Neurospora crassa OR74A: one gene and its partners. The protein of the gene in region 6 binds, or shares a complex with, the protein of the main gene of each other region. Links are inferred from orthologs where the notes say so. Each region holds a gene or a part of one and is shown on either strand. Other genes may lie near its edges. The genes, in order: NCU07386, NCU08296, NCU08728, NCU05717, NCU03343 and NCU01761.

The links.
Region 1: NCU01761 (region 6) and NCU07386 share a complex: the UniProt entries of both Saccharomyces cerevisiae proteins name them as parts of the mitochondrial small ribosomal subunit. The link is inferred for Neurospora crassa OR74A from reciprocal best matches to the Saccharomyces cerevisiae genes RSM27 and RSM26.
Region 2: NCU01761 (region 6) and NCU08296 share a complex: the UniProt entries of both Saccharomyces cerevisiae proteins name them as parts of the mitochondrial small ribosomal subunit. The link is inferred for Neurospora crassa OR74A from reciprocal best matches to the Saccharomyces cerevisiae genes RSM27 and NAM9.
Region 3: NCU01761 (region 6) and NCU08728 share a complex: the UniProt entries of both Saccharomyces cerevisiae proteins name them as parts of the mitochondrial small ribosomal subunit. The link is inferred for Neurospora crassa OR74A from reciprocal best matches to the Saccharomyces cerevisiae genes RSM27 and RSM19.
Region 4: NCU01761 (region 6) and NCU05717 share a complex: the UniProt entries of both Saccharomyces cerevisiae proteins name them as parts of the mitochondrial small ribosomal subunit. The link is inferred for Neurospora crassa OR74A from reciprocal best matches to the Saccharomyces cerevisiae genes RSM27 and MRP17.
Region 5: NCU01761 (region 6) and NCU03343 share a complex: the UniProt entries of both Saccharomyces cerevisiae proteins name them as parts of the mitochondrial small ribosomal subunit. The link is inferred for Neurospora crassa OR74A from reciprocal best matches to the Saccharomyces cerevisiae genes RSM27 and RSM25.

Annotation. Positions count from the first base shown.
Region 1 is NC_026501.1:6,128,770-6,133,655, reverse strand, and holds NCU07386 (Fe superoxide dismutase), read left to right. Parts: upstream 1-1,583; 5' UTR 1,584-1,853; coding exon 1,854-2,115; intron 2,116-2,496; coding exon 2,497-3,167; 3' UTR 3,168-3,628; downstream 3,629-4,886. Other genes in the region: NCU07385 (hypothetical protein), read left to right, coding at 1-1,060. UniProt on the Saccharomyces cerevisiae protein: Component of the mitochondrial ribosome (mitoribosome), a dedicated translation machinery responsible for the synthesis of mitochondrial genome-encoded proteins, including at least some of the essential transmembrane subunits of the mitochondrial respiratory chain.
Region 2 is NC_026504.1:2,501,133-2,506,174, reverse strand, and holds NCU08296 (mito ribosomal protein S4), read left to right. Parts: upstream 1-1,513; 5' UTR 1,514-1,702; coding exon 1,703-1,747; intron 1,748-1,935; coding exon 1,936-2,415; intron 2,416-2,517; coding exon 2,518-3,354; 3' UTR 3,355-3,898; downstream 3,899-5,042. Other genes in the region: NCU08295 (RNA-binding La domain-containing protein), read right to left, coding at 1-259, 324-587. UniProt on the Saccharomyces cerevisiae protein: Component of the mitochondrial ribosome (mitoribosome), a dedicated translation machinery responsible for the synthesis of mitochondrial genome-encoded proteins, including at least some of the essential transmembrane subunits of the mitochondrial respiratory chain.
Region 3 is NC_026502.1:3,811,032-3,815,737, forward strand, and holds NCU08728 (mitochondrial 37S ribosomal protein RSM19), read left to right. Parts: upstream 1-1,660; 5' UTR 1,661-2,039; coding exon 2,040-2,082; intron 2,083-2,182; coding exon 2,183-2,198; intron 2,199-2,499; coding exon 2,500-2,679; intron 2,680-3,141; coding exon 3,142-3,178; 3' UTR 3,179-3,430; downstream 3,431-4,706. Other genes in the region: NCU08727 (hypothetical protein), read right to left, coding at 1-50; NCU08729 (transcription initiation factor TFIID 23-30kDa subunit), read right to left, coding at 3,962-4,372, 4,509-4,706. UniProt on the Saccharomyces cerevisiae protein: Component of the mitochondrial ribosome (mitoribosome), a dedicated translation machinery responsible for the synthesis of mitochondrial genome-encoded proteins, including at least some of the essential transmembrane subunits of the mitochondrial respiratory chain.
Region 4 is NC_026503.1:613,722-618,382, forward strand, and holds NCU05717 (mitochondrial 37S ribosomal protein YmS16), read left to right. Parts: upstream 1-1,987; 5' UTR 1,988-2,249; coding exon 2,250-2,273; intron 2,274-2,409; coding exon 2,410-2,441; intron 2,442-2,703; coding exon 2,704-3,001; 3' UTR 3,002-3,700; downstream 3,701-4,661. Other genes in the region: NCU05716 (hypothetical protein), read left to right, coding at 492-565, 618-1,306; NCU05718 (hypothetical protein), read right to left, coding at 4,605-4,661. UniProt on the Saccharomyces cerevisiae protein: Component of the mitochondrial ribosome (mitoribosome), a dedicated translation machinery responsible for the synthesis of mitochondrial genome-encoded proteins, including at least some of the essential transmembrane subunits of the mitochondrial respiratory chain.
Region 5 is NC_026502.1:1,033,838-1,038,289, reverse strand, and holds NCU03343 (mitochondrial 37S ribosomal protein RSM25), read left to right. Parts: upstream 1-1,873; 5' UTR 1,874-2,213; coding exon 2,214-2,599; intron 2,600-2,689; coding exon 2,690-3,026; 3' UTR 3,027-3,207; downstream 3,208-4,452. Other genes in the region: NCU03342 (hypothetical protein), read right to left, coding at 1-1,261; NCU03344 (hypothetical protein), read right to left, coding at 3,208-4,221. UniProt on the Saccharomyces cerevisiae protein: Component of the mitochondrial ribosome (mitoribosome), a dedicated translation machinery responsible for the synthesis of mitochondrial genome-encoded proteins, including at least some of the essential transmembrane subunits of the mitochondrial respiratory chain.
Region 6 is NC_026502.1:2,519,949-2,524,933, forward strand, and holds NCU01761 (hypothetical protein), read left to right. Parts: upstream 1-1,805; 5' UTR 1,806-2,009; coding exon 2,010-2,048; intron 2,049-2,105; coding exon 2,106-2,314; intron 2,315-2,378; coding exon 2,379-2,437; intron 2,438-2,499; coding exon 2,500-2,519; 3' UTR 2,520-3,058; intron 3,059-3,150; 3' UTR 3,151-3,924; downstream 3,925-4,985. Other genes in the region: NCU01762 (nucleolar RNAse III), read right to left, coding at 485-1,543; NCU01760 (pumilio-family RNA binding repeat protein), read left to right, coding at 4,346-4,474. UniProt on the Saccharomyces cerevisiae protein: Component of the mitochondrial ribosome (mitoribosome), a dedicated translation machinery responsible for the synthesis of mitochondrial genome-encoded proteins, including at least some of the essential transmembrane subunits of the mitochondrial respiratory chain.

The DNA of each region.
Region 1 (4,886 bases), on a different chromosome or scaffold from region 6:
CACCGAGATCGCCCAAAGCGGTAGCCTGGATCCCCATCCGGTATCGGGAGAAGTGGAGATAGATTGGGATTACGACGTCCACATCAAGTACAGGAGACCTGACCCCGAGACACTTCAGACCCTCGTGGTGTTGGGAGAGTTCGACCTGTTCATTCGTCTTGTGTACTGCGTCAACGACAAAGACGGTGGCGGCGACGGATGGCGTGTGGGCGAGGTCGGTGTAGCCAGCAATCCATCTCCCCTCGAATCCTTCCAGGGTCATGCTACACTCGATGAAGCAGAGAAGGCGTTCAAGGCCCAACAAATCTCTGTGCCAGAAACCAAACCAGTTGCCCAAGTATCCGTCCAAGCTGAACCGGTTGAAGAGGATGACGACGATGATTACTGGGGCCGATACGATGCCACGCCTTCCCAAACTCCCGGTCAAGGCCGCTCTCCTGCGCCGCCGTCCTTGGGCGCCGGCCTCAACACTCAAAAACCCCATCCCTTTGAGCGTAGTCCGTCCGCCGAAGATGCGTACTTCGCCCAATACGAATCCGTACAGCCAGCCATGGACCCCCATGATCCAGACGAGGAGGCCTTCCAGGGCGGAGCTGTGGGGGGTGGTGCACCGCTTAATGGTCTCCCCCTTCGCAGGTCTCCGTCGCCAAGACAACAGGCATATGAGCCGCCTGTCATCAAGTCCGCACCAGCGCCGCCGCCATTGGGCCTAAACGGAGACGGCAACGGCGGTTACGTTCCATCCCGATCACCCTCTGATAAGTCCGGTTCTGACTCAAGTGGCCGGCGCATGTCCCAGGCGGACGAGGAGAGGATGGAAAGCCTTGCTCATCCGCGCCCAGCCAGTAGCGCCAGCTCAAACGGATCCCGCATGGTGGCCAAGCTCGAAGAAACGGCGGAAGCGCAAGATCGAGTCGAGTTTGGAGTTAAGCAGCACGTCTCAAGGACGATTCGAAGTCTATTCCAGCTGTCACGCGGCGCTGGCATCAGTCGTGAAGAGTTCGAGCGGATGGTCAGGAACGAGCTTGATGTTCTTGCGATGGTGGAGGACGACGTTTGAATGACCAGGGAAGGAAGGGAAATTGATTCAAAGGGGGTGTCGGTGTTCACTGTTTATATTCCTCATTCTGTTCGGGATACTGCATCATCGGGTCGTTTTTGGCGTCAAGTAGTACTGGTGGGGGAAGTCCGGTGAGGGCGTCCAGTTCGCCTCGTGATTATTGTTAGTTGTTCGGACTTCGAGCAACGGCGTCCACGGAATTATTTTACAATAGCGTTACAGAATATCGGTCAAAGTACGATAATGAACATAGCACATACACGAGCAAAGTAGAGAAAGATGCCCAGTATCTGTGCACCAGTACATCATCGAAACGGTTGAAGACGCAAGTCAATGTGAACGCCAAGTACGGAACTCCGGAATTGGCAAACAGCTACCCCACCAAGGACGGTAGGTACCTCTCAATAACATCCAGGGTTAGGGTCAAACCTGGCTCTTTGCGAGGACGGTGAGGCTGCCGGCCGCCAGTTCGTCCCAACGATTGGTCCCTGCTCCAATGGCCGGGTCCTTCCGCAGCGGAGCAAAAAAAGTCTCGAAAGTCGCGTCCCACTTCGACCGTCTTCCGGGGTTGAGTGCCCGTGTGTTCTGAAGTGCGTCCGCTCTGCGCCGGCAGCCCGTCCAGTCTTGAAGTTGTCTCCGTCCGTCCTCAAGGTCCGCCCCCCACACACACTGTCCACCGTCCATCTCCCCCGACCGAACGACCGGCCGACCTTCCCTTCCACCGAACCTTTCCTCCGACCCCCGGGCCGTTTTCTTGCGGAGAAAGAGACCAAAAAAAACCCCAACAGACAAAATGATCGGCTCCATGGGTCTAAGGATACCCCGTGCGACAAGCTCGCTCCTCGGCCGTGCCGTCAACGCTGTCGCCACCAACCAGTCCGCCGTCGCCGGCGCCAGCATCGCCGCTCAAAGGAGATGGCAGCACTACCTCATGCCGCTTCGCGACAACTTCGAGCAAGAGGGCATCCGCAACTTCCTCAGCCCCGGCTCCGTCAACATGGCCTATACCGAGTACCAGACCTTCATTTTGGAGAAGCTTAACGCGCTTGTAGTAGGTACGTACGGATGACACAGCAACACAGAACATACTCGTCTGGGGAATTTGGTGTCGCTGCGTTATCATGTGGCACGGCATAGCACGGCATGGCATGGATGAAGGTTACGTGCGAGGATTACTGGCTGCGAGGAATTGGTATCCTTTGGTCGAAAACGCCAAGCTGGGATGCTGTTAAGCCTGAGAGGAAGAGGAGGCATTAGCGCAGTGGTTAGGCCACAAAGGAATTGGTGGAGGAAATAGAAGGAAGGGGACTCGGATTGAAGCTCAAGCCAGAGCATGCCCTGCCTATCCGGGGGGGAAGACATGATGTCACCTATTTTGCTGCATGGGAGATATCTAACCGACAAACCACTTTGCTTACTTCTCTTTCGTCAAACAGGCACCGACTTTGAGCAAAAAGACACCAAGTCCATCGTCCTCGCCACCGCACGCGACCCCGAGCTCGCCCATGTGTTCAACCACGCCTCCATGGCGCACAACAACCACTTCTTCTTCGACCACCTGTCCCCGGTCCCCGTCAAGATGGGCGACAAGCTATTTTACCACATCAACGAGAACTTCGGCTCCGTCGACACGCTCCGCGACGAGATGATCGGCACCGCCGTCTCCATGTTCGGTCCCGGTTTCGTCTGGCTCGTCCGCACCCAGCTTCCCGGTCAGCCCGTCGCCCTCCGCGTCATGGCCACCTACTTGGCTGGTTCTCCTTACCCGGGCGCCCACTGGCGCCGCCAGGAGATGGACGCCCAGACTTCCATCGGGAGCTCCCCCCAGGGCTTGAGCAACGGCCAGCGCTTCTTCGAGCGCAGCGCAGCTGGGTTCAAGGGCAACAAGCTTGAACCTACGGCTCCCGGCGGCACTGATTTGATTCCGATCTTGTGCCTCAACACGTGGGAGTACGCGTGGCTTCGCGAATACGGAACTGGTGTGGGTGGTATGGGTGGTAAGCTGGCGTATGCGCAGAGCTGGTGGAACATGATTGATTGGGCCAAGGTCGAGGAGGAGGCCAGGCTGGAGACTAGGATCTTGACGGGCGGTGATAGCTCTGTTTAGCCTCTTGCTTCCATTCTGCGGGGGAAGAGGAGGGAGGAGTGAGGAGGAATTGAAGTAGGAAGTGAAGCGGGAGCGTGAAAGCTTAAGCCTCGACTTTTTGGTTCTGAATTACTCGCGACTACTGGTCCATCAGTCCATGCCTGCCGCCGCCATCGACAGTCCGACGGCTGTCACCTTGTCCGAGGGGTAGAAAGAGCGAGTGGAACGGGATGGAGATGGATTATTGTACGGTTGCTGCCCAAGTTACTTCTGTGACTTTGTCTGTCTATATGGAACCCGGATATATAGGGAAAAGTTGTTCTGTACGATAGGATAGCATGACGGTGAGACCGGCCGGAAAAAGAGAAAGGAAAGTAAAAACCAAGCCAGCCCCGGCAGCTGCCATCTATACTTTTACATGTGTATATTACCAATGAACCAAATGTGTGTGTGTGTGTGAAAGAGGAAAGCAGGATAACGGCAACGAAGCAACAAACGGATAGGTCAAATGCAAATTGTAAATATAGCACTTTGAAAGATGGACGCACATTGTGACATCGACATCCAACCTTCTCTGCTTACTTGACCAAACTTTTTAGTACATCTCCTAAGGACCTCATACGGACCTACATGTCCGACTACTCCTTACTCCGCATGATGTCTGCTTCCTTCACGATATCAGCTCACTAGGTAACTACCACGACACATCAGCTGTTGAAAACATACCTGACCGCTGCCAGTTGTAGCCCTTCTACCTTTGTAGTTTCAGCCTCTGATTTCTCCTCCTTCGCAAGGCCTCAGGCTCCATGCCGAGTGATCGGTGACAAACTGAATCTTGACTATTGACTGTTAGGTTATCAGATTTGCCTGGCCGAGACCTCACTGGTTCGTTTCAGCGCGGTAGCTACTAAAAGTAGGTACGTAAACCGAGCACCGGTGAAGGACGGCAGAGTGAGTGTATCGGTGTCTCGATTGCCATGCCATGCCATGCCATGTCATGTCTCGCATTGGGACTCCGTACGTTGGATCCGGTCAAAGATTTGGTTCGAACTGGCTTTACTCACTCACGGTCACTCAATCGATGTGTAATGTCCCGGTTTTGAAACCACCCAAGTTGAGCACGAGGTAAAGCTCAAGGGAGGATCAGTCGAGATGATTCATTTTTTATATATAGAGGTATATATGTATATTGATATACATGCAACACAACTGTTGTTCTGACGAAATTTGATCTTTCTGTCTTTCTTTCTTTCTTTCTTTCTTTCTTTCTTCCACTTTAAGTTGATTGGGTTTGGGCCCTCTTCTCAGCTGTACCTACCTTTGACTAGACAACATCTGTTAAAATATTAAACTCTCCTTGTCAAACCCGGATGTCTGTATCAAATGAATCCAGTGACACCAAAAATCCAGTCAGATACCGACGGGAAGATGCCATGCCATGCCATGGTTTATCTTAGCACACGCAGATGGCTTGAGTAGCGCAAGCTCCTGGGCAACGCTCGGCAGCAACCTATGAAGATTGCTTAATTGTCCACGGCGTACTGGTAGTGTATAGGTTAGGCCTGGTGTAACCGTGCCTGATTTGTATCTCCCCCTTGACAAGCCTCATGGCCAAGAGGAGAATCCGGTTCAGATGAGAGGTGGAATAAGTTCGGTACATACAAGTATATGGATGGATATGTATGTAGTGTAGAAACCGGTATGCCCGTTGAGCACCTGTCACTTGTAGATTACTATTGG
Region 2 (5,042 bases), on a different chromosome or scaffold from region 6:
CCAGACGGGCCTTTTGCGCATCAGAGGACGAAGTGTAGGCCTTCTTGCGCTTGACCGTCTCCTGGCCCTCCTCGCCAGACACATCCAAGAAGGCGCTCTCCTTCAACGCGGCGACGACGGCCGAGTAGGGCTGGAACATCTGCATGCGCTTGAAGCTGCAGATGGTCTTGAGCGAAACGGGCTTGTTCTCCACGCCTCCGGTCGTCTCCCACATGAACTTATCGGTAGGGAGGTTGCTGTCGCTGAAGTAGAACTCGACCTAAGACTATTTGTTAGACACGGGGACACGCAGCATGCCAACTGTTTTTGTAGTCTGATCGTACCTGGTTGCGGATCTTGACGGGATCGTCAGTGACGGGCTGGGTCGAAGGATCGTATTTCCTGTTGTTCTTGTAGTCGGCGCGGTCGATAGACTTGGTAGCCTCAGGCTTCTTCTCCTCCTCCTTGCTGGCATCCTCAGTCTTGGGAGCCTCCTCGGCGGCGGGGGCAGCCTCCGCGACGGGGGCCTCTACAGTCTCGGTTTGGACCTCGGTCTGAACATTCTCGACGGCAGGCGCAGCCTCAGTGTTGGCGGTGGTATCGCTCATGATGAAGGTCGGAGTGGCCTGTAGGTATTTGAAAGGGTAAAGTACAAGCGGCTGTAAAGGCAATTGACCGTCTAACGTGACGCGCGTGCACGGAAGAGAAGAATGGATGTAGATGGCCGGGAGAGAGATAATGGTGAACGGATGATGAAAATGCAGAAAGTGCACTGGAGACCGGGGACCAAGCAGGCAAAACGACGAAATTATTTAGTGGGTCCTTCAGGTGCACTCCAGTTTTGGGGCGGTAGGCGCAAAATGTTATTGCAGGGTGCAGTGGGGGAATGGTGTTGGGTTGGTGCAGGGTTGATTGTTGATCGACGCGACAGGAAAGTCGGCCATTCACCAGCAAATCCCAGGACGTGTGTGAAGTGTAGAGGTAGTCACGTAGTGTAAGTCAGGTAGGACCTCGATAATTCTGAACTGTAACACACACTTCAATTCCCTTGTCAAAGATCGAGAGTTTGATTCAGTCTTGTCCATCCATTACTGAGCTCCCTCCCTCCATCATCATACAGCAGCGTAACCCATCTGCCCTGACTTTTTCCAGGGTCTGTCGGCATTGGAGTCATATCGAGGACTGCACTTGTCAAAACCTCCCCCTCAGCGCAAAAAAATGGAAGCGGCGAAACCAAGCAAGCAACCAAATCAGCCCCACCCAGGTCCAAGGGAACCGCCTTTGGGTTTAGACTTTTTGTGCCGATTTCTACCGCCTGGCTCTGCTTCTAGCCCCACTCCACTTGCACCCGCAATCCGCCAAGAGGTTGCGGAGCTATACCGCATGCGCTCTAGCTCCCGCATCCTGTGCCTGCCAGTTCTCCACCATCCGGCCTGGAGTTGACGCGCACAGTGGCCCGAGCTTCTCACGTGAATGCGACCAATGGGCGAGCGCGTGCTCCAATTCGGGTCTGAAATAATTTTCGGAGGACGGCGCCCGATAAGAGGTGGAAGGGCCCCGGGAAGCTCCCCTCGTTGGCAGTGCTGCTAGGTGCCCCGGACCGCTCCGGACTCGACAATCTCCAAACAACCTGCGCCGAACCGGTCCGTCCACTTCGCCAAAAGCACGGGGCCTACAGTCCGATCCGATCCCCCGAAGCTCCTCCAAACACACCACACCCAACATGAAGATCCGGAGGTTGTTCAAGTACCACAGTTTGAAGAAAAAGGTATGTGCTATTCGGTGTTTTATGCCGCCGTCGCCGGGTTTGCCGTTGGTCATCGTCGCCGCCGCCGCATCATCACCCCATTCGCCCCATTACCTACTACCTGCCAGTCCCATTGCCACGACACTCAACACCCACCACACGCGATCATGCTGACGTATTTTGTGTGCGCTTCTTCTTCTTCCGAATAGCCCATCAGGCCGACATGGAACAAATATAACCTGTACAACCTGGCTACGGCCGGGAGAGAACCCAGAATCAGCGGCAAGACATTCTTCCAGCAGAAATGGCTCGCCAAGTCCTTGACACGAGCATACCACGGCGAGCACATCAAGGAACGCAAATGGGCGCGCATGTTTAGCCGTCGCCTACCGGCCGTCGTCAACATGGACCCGGCATACATGGCCAAATATAACGGCAGCGAACAAGCCGCCGGCCGCGGTTCCGGCCTCTCAGAGCCCCCAGCCTACGAGAAGACCGCCGACGAGAAACCTGCCAAGCAAGTCATCGCCAACCCGGGCAGGAAGGTTCCCACGCCGTACGAGCAAATGACCTTTGCGCCTCTCGAGAGACGCCTCGATATCGCCATATTCAGAGCCCTCTTTGCCAGCAGTGCGAGACAGGCCCGCCAGATGGTTGTGCACGGTGCCGTCACCGTCAACGGCAAGAAGGCATGTACACCATCACAACGTTCCAATACCGAATCCCACAATACAGTGCACCCATGCCAAAGCTGCTTGTTTCGGCGCTAACATTACCCGATCCTTTTGCAGATGAAACACCCCGGTTACCTCCTGAACCCTGGCGATCTCTTCCAAGTCGACGTCGAGCGCGTCCTCTATGCGACCGGTGCGCCCAAGGACAAGAAGCTCCTCGCCGCGGCTATGAAGGCCGCCAAGAAGGAGCTTGCGGAGGAAGCACAGGAAGCCGCCGAAGAGAAGGATGCGGAGGCCGAGGAGGCCGAGGAAGGAGAGGCACAAGAAGCAGCCTCCAAGTCCGGCAAGAAGGAGAAGCAAGTCGACACCTCCAAGTTCGACGAGGCCTGGAACCGCAAGTACGAACTCCTGCAGCTCCAACGTCTGCTGCAGTACGCCAAGCACATCGCCGACTCGCCGTCTCACCAGCTCTCCGCGACGCGCAAGCAAGCATTGCGCGCTTTGAAGCGCGACATCAAGGCCGCCATCAAGCAAGCGCAGCGGCGCGACGGGTCCGTTTCGCCAACCGGTAACGTGGTGGACGACCTGACGATGCTTCTCGAGCGCCTTGCGGTCTCCCCTTCCAAGGCCATTCAGCAGGAGGAGGCGGCCAAGGAGCTGAGCAAGAAGCTTGACAAGCAGTCGCGCCAGGTGCTCAAGAAGGTGATCGAGTACAACGACGAGCACGAGGACAACGAGATCGACCCGAGCAAGCCGTACATGACCCCCTGGAGGCCGCGCAACTACATGTCCGCTTTCGCGTTCATCCCCCGCTACCTTGAGGTCAACCAGAACATCTGCGCGGCCGTCTACCTCCGCCACCCCGTGGCGCGCCCGGGCGAGTCCGAAGTACCGTCGCCTTTCTCCCCCACTATCAACCAACTCGCGTTCAACTGGTACTTACGGAGAGGTTAAAGGAGGTCTAGTTAGGAGCGAGGGAATGAAAAGGGGAGATGGAGGGAGGAACGGCAGTCACTCTCTGCCGTCTCAGAGCGGTAGAATTCGCCAATGGACGATTAGAGTCGCGCGCACCCAGTTTTTTGCATGTCGCGGGTACGCTCTATTGTGCTTGTTGCATCTTCAAGGCAACCTCGGATGATGTGATACTCTGCACCTGCTGCGGCTTCAGTTGGACCATGCGTTGGAAATCGGGTTCGGTCTCGATGAGAAAGCTGCGAAGTGGGCGGCAAATCTCGCGATTCCCGGAGAAAAAGGAGACGGGGATGGATCATGCATGAGATGAGTTGACTTCATACGTATTTTGGGCACATTGCGCGTAACAGTTTGTTCGTTCCTCAATACCCGAACAATCTGTTGCAGACTCATTCAGTTCGCCCCCTTCGGCATCGATGTACGCTACATGTATCATTACCACTATTAACTAAATGGATATAAAGAGGGGCATAGACAAATTTCCTTCTTCTTTGCGTAAGAAAGTCATGAGACAGATGAGAACCACCGAGACACCTACGGTCTCCTCTCTGAAAGCTCAGTGCTTATATAGTAAAATTGCCAATCATAGCATTGTCGATCGAGAGGAGCAGTGCAAAGGTAAACACTTATCACTGAGGAAGACGGCAAAATTCGCCTTGAGAGCGCGAGAGAGAAAAAGGCTAAGAAATAACTATCTAGGAGAGGCTAAGTGTACGTTGAGTGTGTGTATGTTTTATGTGGTAAGCAAGAACCCTCCGTGGCTGGAGAGCGAAGCACCAGTTGAGAGAATCGGCCGGAAATGTTGGGTTGGGTATGACCGACCGTAAACCGTGAAAAGAAAAACCTCCTACAAGAATTCCCCGTGAAATAAAAACATCTGATCGCCGATGAAAGCAGTTAATAAAATACATGTGTTGTTGGGATATCTGGTCGTTCGTTGCTTTTCGTCCAAGTGAGATTTCCCGCCTGTTCCCTTACGCCCCCTTTGCAACTTGCATATGGTGCAACGTCGCGAGCACAATTCAAACCCGACTCCTTCTGATCCCTCTATGAGCTTCTCGGTTGTGAATTGCTCCTCGCTCCCGCCAGCCACAGCATCCTAACCGACTTGTCAGTCATGGTGGCAGCCGGAAACATGATGTTGCCGACAGTCGGTCAAGAAGACAAGGGCAAGCAGAGCCGCGAAAGGGAGTTGAGGGCCTGATTGCTGCTGCGCCGCAAACATCTGATGGGGAACAGCCAACGAATTATCTCTCTTTCTTCTCCCTCATATTTTCGGAACTCAACTCCCTAAAGCAGATAAGAGGATATATCTGTTGGAACCATGCTGCCATTGTGAAGTAAGAGATTCTCGAAAAAGCTCCTCCGGCCCAATTACATCTGCATTAGCTTTTCAAGAACAAAGTCGACCGGACCGCACCCCGTCCCAACGACGGAACACACCGGCTTTTGGAAATTTGACCGTTTACGGCAGCCAACAAATTTCTAACAGAAACCCATCCGGTTATGAAGGGATCTGCAAAGAGACTGTTGGCTTGCGAGGGGATCCTCCCGCAGGATTAGGAGGTTATGATTAGAAGATGAACAAATGGAAAACAGAGAATGAAGGAATGAAGCGGCAGGCCGAGGTGTATGCGGGATAACATGACAGTACAACAGTCGTGAGAGGC
Region 3 (4,706 bases), about 1.3 Mb from region 6:
GGCAGCGCTGAGCGGACAGGGGTACTGGCGTTGACAGGTGCGGCGCGCATGCATATGATGCAGGACAGAAGCGTGACCAGTCAATTTTGGGAAAGACGACCTGCTGAATCCGTTCAGTGGAGATGGTGCCTGAGACGGCCTGGTTCAGTTCCGTGCGCGCGAGCAAGCTCAACGGTGGAACACTCCGACACGCAATGCTAACGAGCCAGTCGGCGTCTCGTTATGATGGTAGAATTACTCGTGGAGCACCATGCCGTTATAGTGACCGTTCAGCCCGAAAGAGGAGGGATCTGGAGAGCATTAGATCATGTGAAGAGACGGGTAACACTGATACTCAGGCACTCGTCCGCATTTGCGGTAGTCCGACAAGTTGATCAAGGCACACTCAGACACCCAGGGACGGGAAGTGCTCCCTACTAGTTTATTCCGGGAACGGTTGATCTTGATGGGTAGCTAGTGCAAACAATTGCGCAGCAGTCGAGCTGCTTGATGATGATGATGATGATGATGGAAGTTGGAACTCCATGGCTGGCTGGATAGTAAACAAATGCAGCCCTGTTCTCAGGTGGCTCGCGGGAAGAACGAATGCGGTGCCCTTCTCGGACTTTGCGCGCAGACTGGTGAACCGATCAAATGTTGATCAGACCGACCAGAGGGAGGGGGGGCATTCGTCTGAGGGCATCGACGATGCAAGCACACCCACAAATGCGCAAAACAAAAAAAAAAGAGTGACGGATGGTGAAATCCAAAAAGAAGGTCGTTGTGAACGCGAACGGGAAACCACGGCCAGATAGATATATTGACTGCGGTGGCGCTCTTGCCTAGACGAAGAATCCATGACGGCCCAGTCCATGCCCAGGCAAGGCAAGGCAAGGCACAGCACGGCAGTTCACGCCTGCCTTAAACTACCTACACTACGTCCTACATTGATGTACAAACATCATACATACTGTAGTGGTGGCGAGGTGTATGGAACTTGAAATGCTGAGGAAGGAGCAACACTGAAGAAGACGGAGTGCACGATCGATGTGAACCACTGAGCTGCAGTCAGGAATCGACGGACGCACGCCGGTTATCGGCCACCACCAAGAATGCCAATAGTCCGGAATCCGGGATGCTATGTTTTGGAGTATCGCAGTCGCGTTAGTCCTGAACCAATTGACGGCAGCACGGGCAGCAAGTGTCTGAGAGTGCCAACCAGTGCCGCCGGTTTGCTAAACGGTATGTAAGTCATATAATACTTGCTGTATCCTAGTTCGAGTAACACCAAGATTTCGGCCCCAAGTGCTGCTCGAGCAGGGGGGCTTGCCAGTACAGGGGTAGGTACCTGTAGGGTGTGGTGCACGAGTCACACCACCATAGCATTAGATTCAGCAGTATCGTGCATAGATTTTCTTCTTCTTGCGCACCCAAGAAATGCACGATAACACAAATTGGATGCTAATTGATCTTTGCCATCAGGTAGACCCCGCTTTCTCTGCTCACTAAGCAAGTGCCGTTTGACTGAAGATTTCCGTACCTCTCCACTGCAGGGTTGACATCCATCTGTATATTGACGGTAGGTTACCTTGACAAAAAGAGGTGTTTAGAGGGTTATCATCGTAGTGTAATTATGGGGGCGTTGCTTTTAGATATCGATAGACAGGGTTACCCGTGCAGGGGTTTTTGCTGTATCGATAATCGCTTTGATGAATGCCCCCTAACCCTGTAGAAGTACCTACTGCGTACATAGGTAGCCAGGGGGGAGAGTCAGCGGGGGCGTCCGTACTAGGTATGCCGGCCGGCAACCGATAAGCTTGGCAGTTCCAAAATTCGGCCGTGGTCAGCGCTCCCGTCACTGCCGCCGTCGCCGTGATACCTGGAACCGCTCCGCCCGCCCGCCTGCCGGACTCGCCGACTGACTGACCGACCGACCGACCGACCGACCGACCGACCGATTGATCTCAAGACCATCCGAGTGTCGCGTACGCGCCCGGCCTCTTCCCGCTATTTGCAGCCACCACCCATCACCACCGAATTCCTTCTCGTTCGCGCCCAACATGCAGCCAACAAGGGTTCTTTTCAAGAGATCCGTGTGGAAGGGTAAGTTATTTTGTTTTGTCTCCTCCTAAGCTTCACCTTGCGATAATGTACTCTTTGCGCCGTCCAAGACAGTCAAGCTAACCCGCATCGCCGACTCCAGGTCCGCACATTGTCCCGTAAGCTCTACTACCCCTTCCCCTCGTTTCTGTCCCCGCGATCTCAATGACGACGACGACGACGACGACGACGACGACGACAATTCAATGCGCCGGCGCACTCCCGAGGACTCTCTCTCCTCCCTGCTCCCGATCAAAGCTGCCGGCGCATGTCCATCATTCTCTACGAGCCCATCCCGCGACATTCCCCTCCATCCGCGAACCAACGCAGTCCAACCGAATCCAACCGCAACGCTACAAGCATAGTCACCTATCTTGAGCGCAAACGGGCACTAACCACCAACGCATACACACAAAACAGTCTCCCCATCCAGCGCCCCGAGCCCGGCAAGAAGATCGCTCCCATCCGCACCCAGGCCCGGTCCGCCACCATCCTGCCCAACTTTGTCGGCCTCAAGTTCCAGGTACACAACGGCAAGGACTACATTGACTTGACTGTCACCGAGGAGATGGTGGGGCATAAGCTTGGAGAGTTTTCTGCGTAAGTGCTCTTTCTTTCTTTCTTTTTTTTTTTTTTTGGTTCTTTCTTCCCCTACTTTCACTAGTCTACTTTTTTCCTTTCTTTTCCTTCTTTGACTATTATTTTTCAATTTCAATATATTATTTTTTTAAAGGGTCTTTTTTTTTTCCTTTTTTTTTTTTTTTTAAGATGGCGGCGGAAATGCCATAAATGTTGGCGGTGTGGGAAAAGAAAAAAAAAAAAAAAGAATTTTCCTACACAAAATTCAATGGTCTGACACGGCATGGCCATGGCATTGGCTGGTGGCAAGCCATGAATGGCTGGACGGGCGACATGTGTTGGACGCCACCACGGGATGATGATGATCGTAGGCGGTGGTGCAGTGTGGTCAGCAGAAAACAAACAACACAAAAGACACACATTGGGCATATGGACATGAACAATTGGACCGACACTAACTGAATGGTTCAAAACCTCAAACAGTACACGCAAGCCCTTCATCTGGGGTAAGAAGAAATAGACAAACCAAACTTCGTTCGTCTCTTCAGTGATGATGATGAAGAAGAAGAAGAAAAGAGAAGAAGAAGTCGATTGATTGATGGATGCGGGTTTGACACGTTTTTTCTGTGGGCGGCGTTTATTTCGGCAAAAAACAAAAAAGCATATTTTCGTTGCTTATCTGTATCATACCATACCATTGTCAGAGGAGGGCACAGGTTTCTGTACACATATCATATTTTGGGGCAAATTAGAACTTTCGCTTGGATTCATACTACTGTGCTGTGTCTGTTGTTTCAAGATGAACATGTATATGTTGTGTAGTGTGTAGTTTAATTATGCTTTGTAATTGATAAAAATATGCTAGTATCGCCAGGTATTATTATTTTTAGCCTAGACTAGTAGTCATAACGGGTTCACTGAGAGCAAACAGGACGATGGCAATCTTCCATAACGGCGCCTCCTGAACGCCAAGCGCAAAAAAAAAAAAAAAAAAAAAAAAAAAAGGAAAAAAAAAAAGGAAAAAGAAAAGAAGACCCGATGACCCCAAACCCCTTTTGCACCGTTCCCGTGTTGGACCCTTGATTGCCGACCCTTTGCCCATCCATCCATCCATCGATGCATCATCCTCTTGATATCCTCCTCCTTGAGCAAGTAACCACTTGTTGCCGCCCCTTTAAGATAGTATCATCCTTTGGTCTGCCATGCCACCATTCCGCTCACACTCAGGCAAACCACCCACCGTTTCCCCATCCCTTCTCATCAGTAGAGCAGACAGTCCTGCACCGTGACCGTGACTGCCCCCCTAGCGATAAAACTCGCTCCTCTTCACATTAACCCCAAACTCCCCTGCCGCCATGCCCAAATCCTCCATCGTCAGCACCGTCCTATTCTGGCTGCCACCCTGTCCACCACCACCGTACCCCGGCCTCTGGATACCCAACGGTCCACCTCTGCCCTGATCCTTCGCCCCCGCCGCCTGATTGGTCGGTTGTCCAGGAATAGGGAACCCCGCCGCGGCACCCAGACTGCCCATCGGGTTGTTCGCGTTGGTGTTGGATGCCCTGATGCGGGAATACTGGTAGGCGTCGGCGGCGATGTCGGCAATAAACTTTTGTGTTGCCAAGGCGAGCAGACGGGCCAGACGTTGATCGGTTTGTGGCGGGGGAGGAAGGCCGGCGCGGGTCATGTAGTAGGATGTTACTGCATCCGGTATCTGTTGTACAGCGAGTTCTAGCGTTAGCAGGTTATGATATAGAATATTAGGTAATGGATGAATGAAGATCAAGGGAAAAAGAGAGGGAGAGGGGGTGAAGGAGGGTTCGGAGCAGTAGGCTAAGTCGATGACGTACGATAGGCGCGTATTCATCCATCTTGGACAGAAGCTCCTTGAGAGAGACGTCCTTGCGCGTGGGAAGCTTGGGTTCTGGTAGCGAGGGGATGTCCATGTTTGGTCGTTGATCGTCGTTAGCGGCGGCGGGCGCTGTAGTGGTGGTGGTGGTGTTGGCTGTCGCGTCACCTCCCGCTGCTGCTGTTGTTGTTGCGCCGTC
Region 4 (4,661 bases), on a different chromosome or scaffold from region 6:
AGCTCAACCTTAATGTCATTCCCAAACGAATGAATGCGACGCCCCTTTCCCATCAAAGGCATTTATCACCACTTTTGCACCTCAAGATGCCACCACTTGGCTCTTCAGACACGAAAATCATGTTTTCGAAACTGTTTGGTTCTTGTTTCCGAAAGAGGAATGGACGCAAACCCGCAAAGTCGTCGGCTACTCCAAGCGAAGATGCGACTGAGACTGAGGGGAGCCACTCGCGATCACAATCTCACTCCCGATATCCCCAAACGGCGGACAACGTGCCTGGGTCTCTTCAGTTGCAGGATCTTCCGTCTACAAAAACTGTCCTACCGACTGGCAATGGGGAGTTGGGTCCACGCATAGATCCCAAGGGAATATCCACTTCATCCTTGGAAAATGCGCCGGAATTAGAGTCCGTGATGGCTTAAGATGCCTTGCTTATTATTTTCAAAATTTATCAGGTTGGAAACGGAAGACTAACCTTACTTCGACCACAGGTATATGAATGATCGGGAAAGGAAGCGTGGCCCAGATGATGCGTTGAATCAGTTGTTCGACCGTCTGGTCGGCGGTATGTCTCTTTGCCCCTGCCTCTCATTCCCCTCGAACTAACATCGATACAGACGAGGACCGAGCAGCAGCAGGAGCCGGAAAACCCGTCGAGGCCATCGGCGCCGAAGCCGCCCAAGCCTACATCTCCTCCATGGGCGCCAATATCGAAAACGTTGAAGCTTTTGTGGTCCTTGAGATCGTCCGCGCCGACTCCATCGGCCAAATCACTCGCCAGGGTTTCGTCGAGGGGTGGTCCTCCATCTACCTCGACCACCGCATTCCCGCAGACCCGGCCCACCACAGAAACTACGTCCGGATGTGCATCCAAAACCTGCCTCAAAATCCGGCCTACTTCAAAAAAGTCTACCAGTTCGCTTTTGGCCTGGGTAAGGAACCTGCCCAAAAGGCACTGGAGAAGGACGTTGCCTTGGTATTCTGGGATTTGTTTTTGGGCACCGAGTCTTCAGATACAGGACTAGGACCGAGGCCGTGGAAGAGCAAGAACGTGGATTGGCTGGGTGCGTGGAAGCGGTTTTTGGCGGAGAAGTGGACGAGGAGCGTCAACAAGGATATGTGGAACCAGACGCTGGCGTTTGCGGAGAAGACGATGGTGGATGAGACGCTCGGGTTCTGGAACGAAGACCAGGCGTGGCCGGGCGTGATTGACGATTTTGTGCTTTGGTGCAGGGAGCAGGGGATTGCCAAGGCGCCTGCACCGGGGGCAGCAGGAGGGGAGGGGATGGATGTTGAGGATTATTAGAAAGTTGGTCATGAGCATCCGGGGAAGGAGTGTAAAGGATGAAGTCAAGTGGGTGGATGTGGTTATACGGGGGGGAGCATATGAGGATGTTGGTGAGGACTCTTTCGCCTTGGCGCAGGGAGGATAAGAGGGGCAAAGAAGAGAAGCACTGATGGTCATGCTGTTGCCAGTTGATGCTGGGAGGGCTTTCGGGGCTCTCATGGCGGTTATCATCTTGTTGAGGTTGCTGCCATGGTGGTCAAGCGGCGCATCGAAAGATCAGAGGTTGGTTCGCAAAGAGCAAAGAATACATTTACACAGCGCATTTCCAGATACACAATACCGATAAGAGCATGCATTTACAACATGAAGGCCATTCAAAGGTGTATGAAGCGGTTGGGAATGTTTTTAGAACAAGTCTGATTTCTCATTGCTTCTAGACCACATTATAACCCTTTAGGAACTTTTAAAACAGCTTTTCTGGAGGACCATTACACCCAACAGATGTCTCTACAATCACCGAGGTGACAGCTGAAGAGTCGAGTAAACAACCTCTCTCCCACCCACCCTTGATGAAGTGTGTACACCCCTATCCGGAAGGCGGTCAACGCGGCAGAATCTCGACCTTCTTCCTGGACCCCACAAAAATTTCCAAGCAAGCGGCGGCACCCGGACGCCCACTCGCAACCAACCCGCTGCGGCACTGCGGCAATGCGGCACTGCTGACGGCAACACCCACCACACCCTACAGTACTTGCTGAGCCCGGTCACAACAGCAGCCACAGCGGTACCTACTGTGGGGCTCCGAACTTCTTATCGACGTCCAAGGTTCACTAGGTAGTACTATACGCGCTTTCGGCCGGTCGCAATCGCATCGCATCGCATCGCGAAACTAAACTTCTTTTTGCGTTCGTTTCTTTCCCCGAACCGATTGCCCGCCGCCCAGCCCAAACTACCAGACAGGATGTTGTATGAGACTATTGGTATTGTGAGTTACCCTAGGGTTGAACTACAGGAGCAGGTTAAGAGATTGGGGGTACAGAAAAGGAAAGGAAATGGAAAGGGAATGGGAGAGGAGAGAGATGGAAAGAGACAGTCTTGCTAATGATTGCACTTGTGAACAGGTCCGCCCGGGCAACATCGCCGAGGTGAAGGAGTATGTTTTTTTCCCCTTCTCTTTGTTTCCACTCGATAGTCCGTCCGACTTGAAGAAAACTCCCTCCGTCTTTCCTTTCCCTTACGAACCCGACCCGACCCGAACCGACCGATCTTTCTCTTGTCTTCTCTTCTACCACATCATCCACGACCCTACCTACCTATCACCCCGACTCCGACTCCGAACCCAACCCAACCATCCCATCCTCTACCAACCTTCCACACCTCGTCGTACTAAACAAGAACCAATAAAAAAAAAACAGACTCGTCCTAACAGCCGGCAAACTCATCCTCAACCAAGGCGGCGTCATCCGCGACATCAAGAACTGGGGCACGTTCCTGCTGCCCCGTCCCATCTCCACCAACCAGCAGCGCCATAACCGGGGCCACTACTTTGTCATGCGGTACGACGCCAGCATCGCGACGCACGAAGAAGTCCGACGCACCATGAAGGCCGACCCGCGCGTGATCCGCACGGCGAACGTGAAGTTGGGCGATGGCAAGCTGGAGACGCTGTCGAGGTTTGGGGCGATTCCTTGGAGGAGTTTAGAGGAGGCGTAAATCTGTATCTTCTGGACGGAGAGCAAAAGAGGGGGCGGGTGGGGGGGGAATGTGTACGATGGATGGACAGATGGATGGGAAATAATGAATCGAGTCGAATCGAATCGACATATATCCATCCCATCTCCTTACCGGCTTGTGTATACCAAAAGGGCCGTGATGAAGCAGACCGGACAACATATATGGACGGATGGATGGCAGGCATCTTTATACCTTCTTACCTCCGTCGACAGCAACAATAAAAACGACCGAAACACCCACCAATAACGATCTGGGCCTTCGATGAGCAATGGTACATCGTGAACGCACGACACCTGGATAGCAACATGGGATACATACATACAGACAGGCAGCATACGTATCCGAAATCTTCATTGCGAATGGGTTGCGGAACCATCCATACCCACTCAGGTTGAAGGAAGGAGGAACCTGACTCCTTTTCGACCCCGTTAATGGATCACCGTCGTCGATCAAGAAGTTCTGGCGTGAATTAGGGTGCACTCGAAACGGTCAGAGTATCATATCAGTCAAGCCAGCTAGAGAACAAACTCCCGGACCCGTCTTTGTTCATGTACGATAACGCATGTGGAATGTGATCCGCTAAAGAATACGACGCCATATTCAGATTCCTTAAAGCAAGGTAGTTCATCGGTCCCGGCTCAACAAGGATGGCTTGGGATTAAGAAACGTCAGACACGATCATATTAAAGTTACGGGTGATCTTTGAAAACTTGACGTGAGGGCTCTTCGCTCAAACTTCATCCTCGTTTCAGTTACCACACTTGTATGCTACACTACCTCCCCTTATCAAATGTAGTTGATCGATCCTCTCGAGTTCCCAGTTAAACACTATGATATCAGTCTCGCCAACACACGGCAACACACGGCAACAGAGGCATGTTCATATCACCAAGTCAACACACATCCAGAACCGGGGCTCACTAAAGTGAGATTTAATGTAAACCATCTCTATCAATTACCTTCCACTACTTTCACTCGGCTACCTAAATAATGAATCACTCCAGTCTTCCCTCTCTCTCTCTCTCTCTCTCTCTCTCTCTTCAAAACGAAAATTTTTCAAATCCAGTCTTTCCACCCACCATACCAGCAACGCCCGGAACAAGCAAGCAGTAAACTGACCACCACCACCACCACCACCATCACCAACCCCCTTGACGCTGCGTTTGTATCCTACCACTTTATCCCGGCGTTTAGACACAAAAGACCCGGTAGTGAATGCAAGGAAGAAAAAAAAGGAAACACAAAAAAACGAACAATAAGAAAAACATAAACTCCCAAACTCCATACCAACCAGCACAACCGCCTGCAGAAGAAAACCAGGAAAGTCAGGAAATGCAGTAAAACCACGATCGGCCGATCTATGGATCGAGGCCACGCAAACCAAGAGTGCCGTGAAGCAAAACATCTGGAGCAGAAGAATGAGAAAAAACAAGAAAAGCATATCCCTCCGTGGAACCTTTTTGACGCGCTTCACAACTTCCCAACTGACAATTTCTCACCAATCGCCACCACCCACCGTGTTCCTCGCGCTCATGGGCAAGCAACCATGGGTAGTTCTTTTTCCCCGAAGGATCTCAAAACCCTATTCATCCTCATGCGGCAAAACAACCGAGTCCATATCATCCCAAGCTTGTTCCAC
Region 5 (4,452 bases), about 1.5 Mb from region 6:
CAGCGAGAGTGAAGTTGCCAGCCTTCGAGGCCACATCAAACAAAATGTTGAAGGTTACCTCGGTCGCCTTGATGCCAGCGTCGACTTCCATCTCGCGCCACAGTCTCATGGCAGACTGCGCCTGAGTTTCGGTGACAGTGCCAACATATCGGCTTGCAAAAGAGATGGCGCAATTCCACTCCCCTGCCGTCAAGGGCATGCTGCAGTTCCTCACATCCGCTATGACGGCGAAGTACCGCAGCATGGACTTGGAGTTTCTCCGCTGAGGCTGCCCTAATGCTTTTAGGAGCTGATGTCGCAATCGACCATTGATGTAGGGCATGCGCGGTTCCGGCAGTTGCTGGTAGAGGTCGTAGATCGTGTCAAGGTCAACCTTGTGTGGAGTGCGCAGCCGCACGAGTACAGCAAACCTGAGATCGCTCAGTGTGTGTTGGCCAAATTCGTCCAGTCCAACCACTTCGTCCGGGCCTGGATACTCGTAGTCATCTTCATTTTGTACAAAGGTGAACCGGGGCCTATCAGCGGGCGCATAATTATGCATGTAAGGATCGCGAATGAACTTGAGGTAGTCTTCGACCGTTCCATCTAGATCATGATAGGGATCTACCAGTTCAAGCAGCTCTTCTTTGGTGAGATGACCGAGCTTCGCACTGTGGGATTCGGGCAGCTCTTGTGATTGTGGGTTTGCGCCCGAGTGGGACTCGGTCGATAGATCGTCATGTAGCGCGGATGGGGCCGAGAAGACAGAGTCGGCGGGCTTCTGATCGGCACTGGGTTCGGGGGCAGCTGCGGCAACGGGGTCAGGGACCGGGGCTGCCGCCGCCGCCGCCGCCGCCGTGTGGCTCCGCTTTTGGGGAGCAGAGACCGAATAGCGGAAGAAGTTGGAGTCGAGTGCTCGTCTGCTGTTCGTGCCGGACAGACTGGTGGGAGTTACCCGCAGGGATGGGGTGGTCAGTAGCGGGCAACCGGTGGAGCCGCCTATGGGTCTCCTCGCGACCCCATCGACAAGGCCACCACTTTGTGAGCTCCAGCTGCCGTGGAAGCACCGTCGTTGTTGTACTGGGCCGAGGCCTGCTGTCGCAACCTGTCTTCTTCGTCCGCTGCCTTGGTCACCGAGCTGGATGGATGCTGTGGTTTGCGACACGGAACTGGTGGCAGCAATTGCGGTTGCGGAGGCGGCAATGGCAGACCAATTCCACGACGGACGATGCAAGAAGATGGTGCCGCATATCGACCCTTCAAATCGGCTGGAGACTTTCATGAGCTGCCGCCGTCCAACATGATGGCCTGCCCATTCAGCCAACCTTTTCTTGCCTGTTCCCCGCGAGTGTCGGCCGCAATTCGATGAAGAAGAGCTCAGAGAAGACGCAATCACAAGCTGCTGGCTGCTGCGCACTCGATTGGCACTCGATGCAATCGCGGTTACTGGCGAATTGGATCGTACTCAGGTCGATGTGGTCAGGGCGTCAGATTCGTGGAGGGCGGGGAAGTATGGGGAGAATGGGGAGAACTCGAGTCATGAAGTGAGGAGGGATGTGGCAGGAAACTGGGGTCGGGTGAGCGACGCGATGATTGAGAAAAAGTTGGGGTAGTGTAGTGGTGTACACTACAATACATGGACGAGGCACAGCTCCAGGTACCTTGCCGTGAGCACACCCCACCCCTGCCTCTACGAAAGAGGGGAAGCTGGAATAGGGTCCAGTCTCGGCCGGGCTCAAGACCCCCACTTCTGTTATCGATAAGCACCTAGCTAGGTACTTCCCTTCCCTTTGGTCGCTTAATGGCGGGGCGGGGAACTATTTTTTTTTTGCCGGCACGTCCTTCCAATTGCTCGCCCGCTCGCGGCAGGCAGGACAGCAGGTCGCGCGGGTTACCGGCAACAACTGAAGGTCGTGTCGGATCGTGCCTGTCTCCAAAAGGCACAGCTCCACTTTGGACAAAGCTAAGCAAATAGCGATAACGATAGGTTTGGCGGGTGAGGGAATCCATTGTGCCTACGCAGCGCAGCGCAGTGTATTATTATTACCTTACACAGGTATACACACCCCGTAACCTCGTAGCCTTGCCTTTGCCTTGGGAGGGTACCTGAGGAACGAAAGGACCGCCGAATCCGCCAATGGTCCTCTGATCTCAGCCAACACCACCGCTGCCGTCGATTATCACCAGTAATTCCCTCCACAACACCCAAACGCCGCCAGCGACGACCGGACAAGATGGGCAAGGGGCGCATCTTCCAGGCCGCAAAGGTCTACCAGAGGGCCAGCGAGGCTGCTGCCACCAACATCGTCTCTGGCCTGCCACCACGGAACCCACCACTGTGGCTCAAGGCCATCGAGTCCATCCCTCCCGCTGAGATCAACACCAGACCGTATCCGATCCAGCACTCTCCGCCGAACCCGCGAGCGCGCAAGCCACGCAACCTCTTTAGGCCCACCAAGATCGTCTATCCCGAAGATGAGTTGCGCCGCGACTTCTACCGCGACCACCCTTGGGAGTTGGCCAGGCCTAGGATGATTATCGAGTTGGATGGCAAGGACGCCCGTTTCCTTGACTGGTCCAAGGGCCTCAGGCAACGCGGCATCCCCTTGTCCGGCGAGAGGTACGTTGTTGGATGAGCGCATTGCACATGGCGCAAAAGCCCGGCGGACAGGCATGGAAATTGGATGCTAACCCGAATCGCAAACGATAGTGTCGTTCAACGTCAGCTCTGGCTTATGGAGAATCAAGGCATGACCAAGCAGGAAGCCTACGACAAGGCGCGCCACGAGTTCTACAAGTTGAGGCAGTTGGAGCAGATGGAGCGCAGGATAGCCGTCGAGGAGGCCCGCATGGTTGGTGGCTACTTTGGCAAGGACCTTCTGACGGTCGGCATGGAGCTCGAGAACAAGACGTATGAGAGTTGGAAGAAGTGGGCTACGACCGAGATCGCCCGCCAGGAATCTGCCAGGGCTTCCATGTACACCAATGTCGTCGACAACTCTGCGCTCGAGGAATCTGAGGAGGACGAGCTGCTCGCGCAGAATTAAGGCAACGAATTGGAGTAAAAGGGGAGGGACAGAGTGGTATAGCGTGGCTGATACCCATCCGTGTCGGGGAAAGACGATGCCGGCCCACTCGTGCACAAGTGTAAGAATATCACGTCTCTTTGTACATATAGAGAGGGCAAGAGACTTTGTAGAAGTACATGTGATTCAGGAGCCTGGTCGCCTATCTTCGAAGAAACCCGGCAGACACCGGCCCGATATACTGACTGCCCTTGAATATTTTCGCCAGACTCTCGTGCTGCACACCGACAACATCGGCAATGCCCGTTTTTAGAAACAACTTCCCCGTCAGACTCATCGTCTTGGACCTGGCCCAGGTCTCGATGTACACCACCTTGGCCCTGTTTTCGGGTACGAGGTAGAATATCTTGAGCAAGTGGGCCACCAAACACACAATAAAGCCGTTGGCAGGCCCATTTGTAACAATCACATGCGGGTATCTGAATCCCTTTCCATGATCCTTTGTTGACCGTGGGTTGGGCATCCGTGTGAGGGCATTGGCGGCATGAAAGGCGGATATGAGGCAGGTAAAGGGTGCCGTATAGAGCGGTTGATGGACCTTGCGCGCACGGCGGATTAAGAAGATATCAGAGGTGCCTGCTCGATCATCTTCTCCGGGATAGGCGTCCTTGATAGTCGCTTCCAGAAGGCGGGCCTTGCCGAGAGAGGAAGTGTCTCCGATGGAGATGATGTACCGCCGGTGGATGTTTGCCTGGCCGCGAAATGACTGCTTGATGGTCTCAATCATCTCAGCAGTGTGTCCACCAGAGCCAAGTATATATGTGAAGTAAATAGCAGGAAGAGAGGTGGTGTTGGGAACTTGTGTGCCAGCGGCATTGGGTTGGGGCGTATTGCTGGGGACGAGCCAGCTGCCACCTGGCTTTTGACGCCGGCGTATCATTTCAAAGTGCCGGTAGACAATAAAGGTACCAAGCACTATCCCGACGGTGATGACGAGGGAGATGAGCCATAGCCATGATAGACCAGAGAGGAGAAGCCCGGCTGCGGTGGAGGATGCTGCACCCGCAACAAAGGTGGCTGCTGTCAAGTTGATGCCGCTCACAGTCTCAACATGTAACTGAGAGTAGCTCTCAGCTCTGGTGTCGGGCTTTAGCTCTTGATCATTGCGCGATTCTTCCTTGCCCGCCAGCACGGACGCTGAAGTAGTAGGGGCCATTCTAGAGAGCCCCAAAGGTCTCTTCAAAATTCTATTGGTATAATTAGTTTCACATTCTTTGAATATGGAGTCTGGGTACTTGATGGTGTCACCTCGTCGAATCTTGATAACGTGTTTTGTTTGGAGGTTTCCTGAAGTCACGCCTTCCAAAATAAAGGGGCTAATAAACAATGACAAAAGGGGCACATCCAATTGGGGTAAGAAGGAGAGGCTTGTTTGGTGCCGTCTGGA
Region 6 (4,985 bases):
GGTCGAGCGCTTCATGATTACCGTACAGAAACTTGAGGTCCCCATCTTCTATGTCTTTCTTTGTCCTTGGAGTCGGGGTTGTCAAAGCATAGTGGTTTGTGAGACCTGAATTCAAGATAAGCCTCCATATTTTTGAAAGTAACGAACACTCCAGGTAGGGGTATAACATTCCGAAGATGCCTGATGGATATCTCTACTAACTATGAAAGGAGGTGCTGACCTGTGGATGAACAAGATGGTTCATCATCGACTTTGGCCACAGCTTGTTCGTTGTGGTTTCTCTTCGTATGTGCAAACGAAACGGTCCCTGGTCCTCCCTTGAACCCGGGTCGTTTACCCGTAGTAATGAATGGCCTAATTCATCTGCTATGCGTCCTTCTCATGGCCGACGCCCGAGGTAAACCACGAGACTACGGGCATGTGATGGTTGGTGTGTCGAAGTATTAAAGATCAGGGGCATATGAGACCGAACAGTACTTGGTCGCTACAGCACGCCGCCAGTGGTTTCCTGTGCCGAAGGCTGATCCTTCAAGGGGAACGTCACTCCTGCCTGCTGCAGCTGGGCTTCCCGCGCGGCCTTCATCTCCGCCTTCTTGTCCGCAAACTTCTTGAGCAGCTTCTTGTTATCCAAGGCCATTTGAGCTGCTTTCTGACCAGCTTCCTTCTTGCTCAAAGCACTTCCGTGCCCAAGTTGCAGGTTGGTCTCCCCCCAGCCTGTCATAAAACAGCCAATAGCGAAAAGAGGCAGCTTGGTTCCCCTGTCCTTCAGGTTTTTGGAAGGGAGATCTTTATACTCGATCTTGACACCCCTGGCTCCAATGGTAGCTTCGAGTACTGTCTTTGGGTCGAGTGTCTGGCCACTTGCGGATTGCTTTTGCTCCGGCTTCCTGGCCTTCTTCTCTTCCTCGCGGATGTACTCCGCCATGAGAGGGCCCCATAGGGCCTTGAGCCAGTCTGAAGCACGCTGAATCCCATTGGCAGGATCAGAAAGAATCACGCCTCCTACATAGGCTTCGAAAAGGTCTCCGAGAATCTTAATTCTGACTTTTTGACTTGCGTTTGTACCGCCCACTCTGCCCTCCATGTTGAATTCTTCCGGGATATCGGCCATCTTGTCCAAGCCGTAATAGACCGAGAATTCGCCTAGTGTGGTGTTGCGGATAAGCATCTCGCGACGTTGTGCGCTTTTGCCAGCCGGCAAGGTCGGGAAAGTTTGATATATGAAGGAGGAGGCGATGAGCTCAAGATAAGCGTCGCCAATCCACTCCAGCCTCTCATAACTTGCAACAGGGTCGTTGTTAGCTTTACCAGGGTGTGTGAGCGCCGCCTTTTTGAGTGCCGGGTCCAGAATGTCGGGGAGCGGTGGCCGCATTCTCTGGATGGTAGCGAGTGTCCATTTGGTATTGGCATGCAAAGAAGGAATTTGGACGGAGGTTGCGGACTCCAATGTAGCGCCTTGTGATGCGGATGGTGCAGAGTCTGACTTCGCACGCTTGGAGGGCGGTTCTGATACCTCCTCCGGGGTGGGTCCGTGTTTCGGCATGGCAAGATTGTACTTTCCTACAAGCAATCCGAATGCCTCAGATCGCGCGTTGATGCGGCGATGAAATTGTAGAGGCAGAATCGAAAACGGATTCTTCAAGATGAGAACGAATCCCGGGCCATTGCGTAGTGGAAACCCTAACCCCCTGTTCGACCCCAGATCCACATCAGGGCGCTGCTGCTGCCCTGTTATGGCCCGTAGCTGTCATTCTTAGCGCCTGTCAGCCCTGGAACGCGCCGCCCTCGGCTTCATCAGCGGGCTTGCGCTGACGGCCCGGGGACACTGCGGCTCGAAAACAACGGTTGCAGTCCGTGCCCCACTCTTTGTACCCATGAATGGTTATGATTGGTGGCGCATTGCTTGACGGGCTGGAGCGGGAGATCTCTGAACGACGTCGAACAATCCGGCGGCTCTTGTTGTTGCTGTTTCTAGAATTCGCGAATCCGCAATTCCATGTAACGGCAAGATGTCGGTCCCACGGGCGCGGTTACTGCAACTTGTGAAGGTATGGAACAGTTCCGAATGAGGGGAAAAACCAGTTCGCTAACTAGGTTATACCTAGGCTCGTTGCGAGCTCTTCTCGACGACTTTCAATCCCGAAGGCATCCGGACCGGTAACAAGATCCTGCGTCAGCGACTCAAGGGCCCGGCACTTGCGACCTACTACCCCCGCAAGAACGTCGGTATTCGCGAGCTTCAAAAGGAGTTCGGTACTCTTGGTCTCGAGGTTGACGATGAGGTCGATGATGATCGTTTGGAGCACTTGGCAGCGTTCGTCTCTCTCATTCCTGCTAGTGTTTACTTGCAAACATCACAATCTAACCATACCTTACAGTCTGAGAGCCCGCGACAAGGGAGCGCCCAAGAAGAAGAGAACGGCACCCTCGGCGGCCGGTGGGTTTCGTCTGCACCTCTTACTCACGGTTCAAATCTCTAACGTTCATATTCTGCGACAGATGCGAAGAAGAAGAAATAAGACACGGCGTCCCGAAATCAGAACTACACGACGTGTACATGTATCATATAGTGGGCGGACTAGAATCATATACCCCGAATACCTGGCGTTCCTCCGGCAGTTGGTCCATTTCGACATGCATTTTTCCGCTCAGTACTTGATGCCATCACAGTCTCCCCGTGACGAGGTGCTGCCACAACTGTACATATGGTTAGCGACGCCCGCGGCACTTGCCCCTTCAAATGGTGTTGAATAGCCGCCTAGTTCGACAAGCAGGTTTGTGGTTACCAGCTTTGTCAAAGGTTCATCTCGGGACTGTCCTCCCATGCGTCTACACAAGTCTCTTGATGCATCGAACAAAGAAGCGCCTGTTGATAAGCTGAAGATACCGTATCTTGATTCCATAGCGCGGATGGGCTTGAGGGAGGATATGACCCTTCGCCATTGTCCCTCTTTACGAACAGCTTTGATCATTTGGGTGAAAACAACAAGCGAGTGTCGGATCACCCAAGATCTTTGCACAAGCCGTCCATGTCAAAGAACGCCATGAATGTGAAAAGGTGCGCTGGCTCTTCCTGCTCCATTTCAAGCCTTTTCCAAAATAAAAATGGATAGGAAAGGAAGCTAATCACACCTACCATAATTTGCAAAGACCTTGGCATCCCAGCCCTACCGGACGAGAAAAGCCGACCCGCCACTCCTATCTGTTAATGTCCACGATGCTAGGTGATGGTGCTGTCTTGTTGAAGCTTCCAGACGTTGCATGCTTCCCTACCTACTCTACTCATTTTCATTCCGACGAAGAATGGTAGATCACACCGAATGGCAGGTGACATGAACACCTAGGTATGAATACCGCCTAATGAACTCGGAATATGTCATTGGGGCTCGGACGCCTAACCCAGAAACCCGTTGATCGTATGGGAAGTGGCAGCCGGACAGCAAGGTCCTTAACGCGGCAGGATGTCTCATCGCTGGCTCGGTTGACCATCATGCCCGACGTCCCCGCGACACGTGAAAAACTTCGGCTTGGTGATAAGGATCCCGCTAGGCACAAGGACGGGAGGCACGACGCCAAAGGCCGATGATCGTTAGCTGGAATACCGGTCGCAACTTCCCCAGCGACTCATCATATTCGATTCCGATCTTCGGATGGACGAGCCGATGTGCGTTCACTCGTCAGATCATCTGATGGCAGCCCAAGTGAGCTTTGATCACAGAGATTGCGGATTATCTCACAGGCATCGTGAACCCCTTTTTGCTTGGAGTGTCCGGGCAGTGACACCTGGGCAGTCCCGGTCACAGTTCCATCGTGCCTTCCTCCCTCGGGAGCCAAGGGTCCACCATTTCGACTTTAGTCTCGGTCATCCCGGGCTCATACCTACCCTAGAGGTACCTACCTACCTCTAGCCCTATTCTGACCGGTGCGTCCATCGTCACCAAGAGGTTTGTTGCTGTTGCCTTGCGAGAAGGTCCAACTTCAGGGCAACTGTAGCTGAAAGTACGGGTATCTCGGGCACATTTACACTCTTTCTTCCGTCCCAGACCAGCTCTTGGAGCTCTTTCTCTTTTCCCCATTATATCAACACATATTTCTAAGGCTTCTTCTCTTTCTGCATCTTCTTGTCGGTGCCATCACCAACCGTGTTCTCTCAAAAGCGGTTTGTGGTCATCTCGCCCCCAAGCTTCTATTTATCTGTGTCTTTCGTCGCCATTGGAACCAAATCTACTGCTTTTCTCTATCACCATCTTGAGCATCTCCTCCCATTGTGAAACACCAGCACCCAAAGCATCCCTCCAATCCCCTCAGGCTAGGTCATTCAACATCCAGCCCTCAGCAGACGACCATGTCTGCCGTCGCAGCATCCACCGGCTCGCCCAACGAGCGCCGTGCTTCGGCTTCCAGGAGTTTCTCGCAGTCTCAGGACGAGAACACGAAGCTTCCCGATGAGTTGATGTCTCCCAACTTGCAGCAGGTATGTATTCTAGTTGTATGTTACGTATTCAGTTGCATGTTTCAGGTTCTTTTTTTGGGTCTTGGGAAATTGCTGCCCTCACCTCCCGCCGGGTCGTCAGAACCTTGCCAGCCCTCAGACGGCGACGAACTGCAACACACTCGGGACGAAAATCATTACAGCGGACTGGCAGCTGTCGGGACTAAACCTCTCGACACGCGACCGCCAGATACTCACCAGCCCCGCTCACTCCCACAGCAACATAGATTCAGCCACTGCTTGCTCACAACCTTATTCTTTTCTTCAACCGAACCATCGGACCTGTATTTTGTCCCAGTCACTCCTTTCATATTCACTTGATCTATCTCGCGGCTGTTACGCCTTAGAACCCTCTCCTACATATCCACAGGCCTTGATCACTGACCCGATCTCTGCTAGGACGTCGAGCCGTCCCCTCAAAAACACTCCATCAGCGCCCTTAAAACGTCCAAAATAGCGAATCGGAAGTACACAAAGGTAGCGAACCACATTC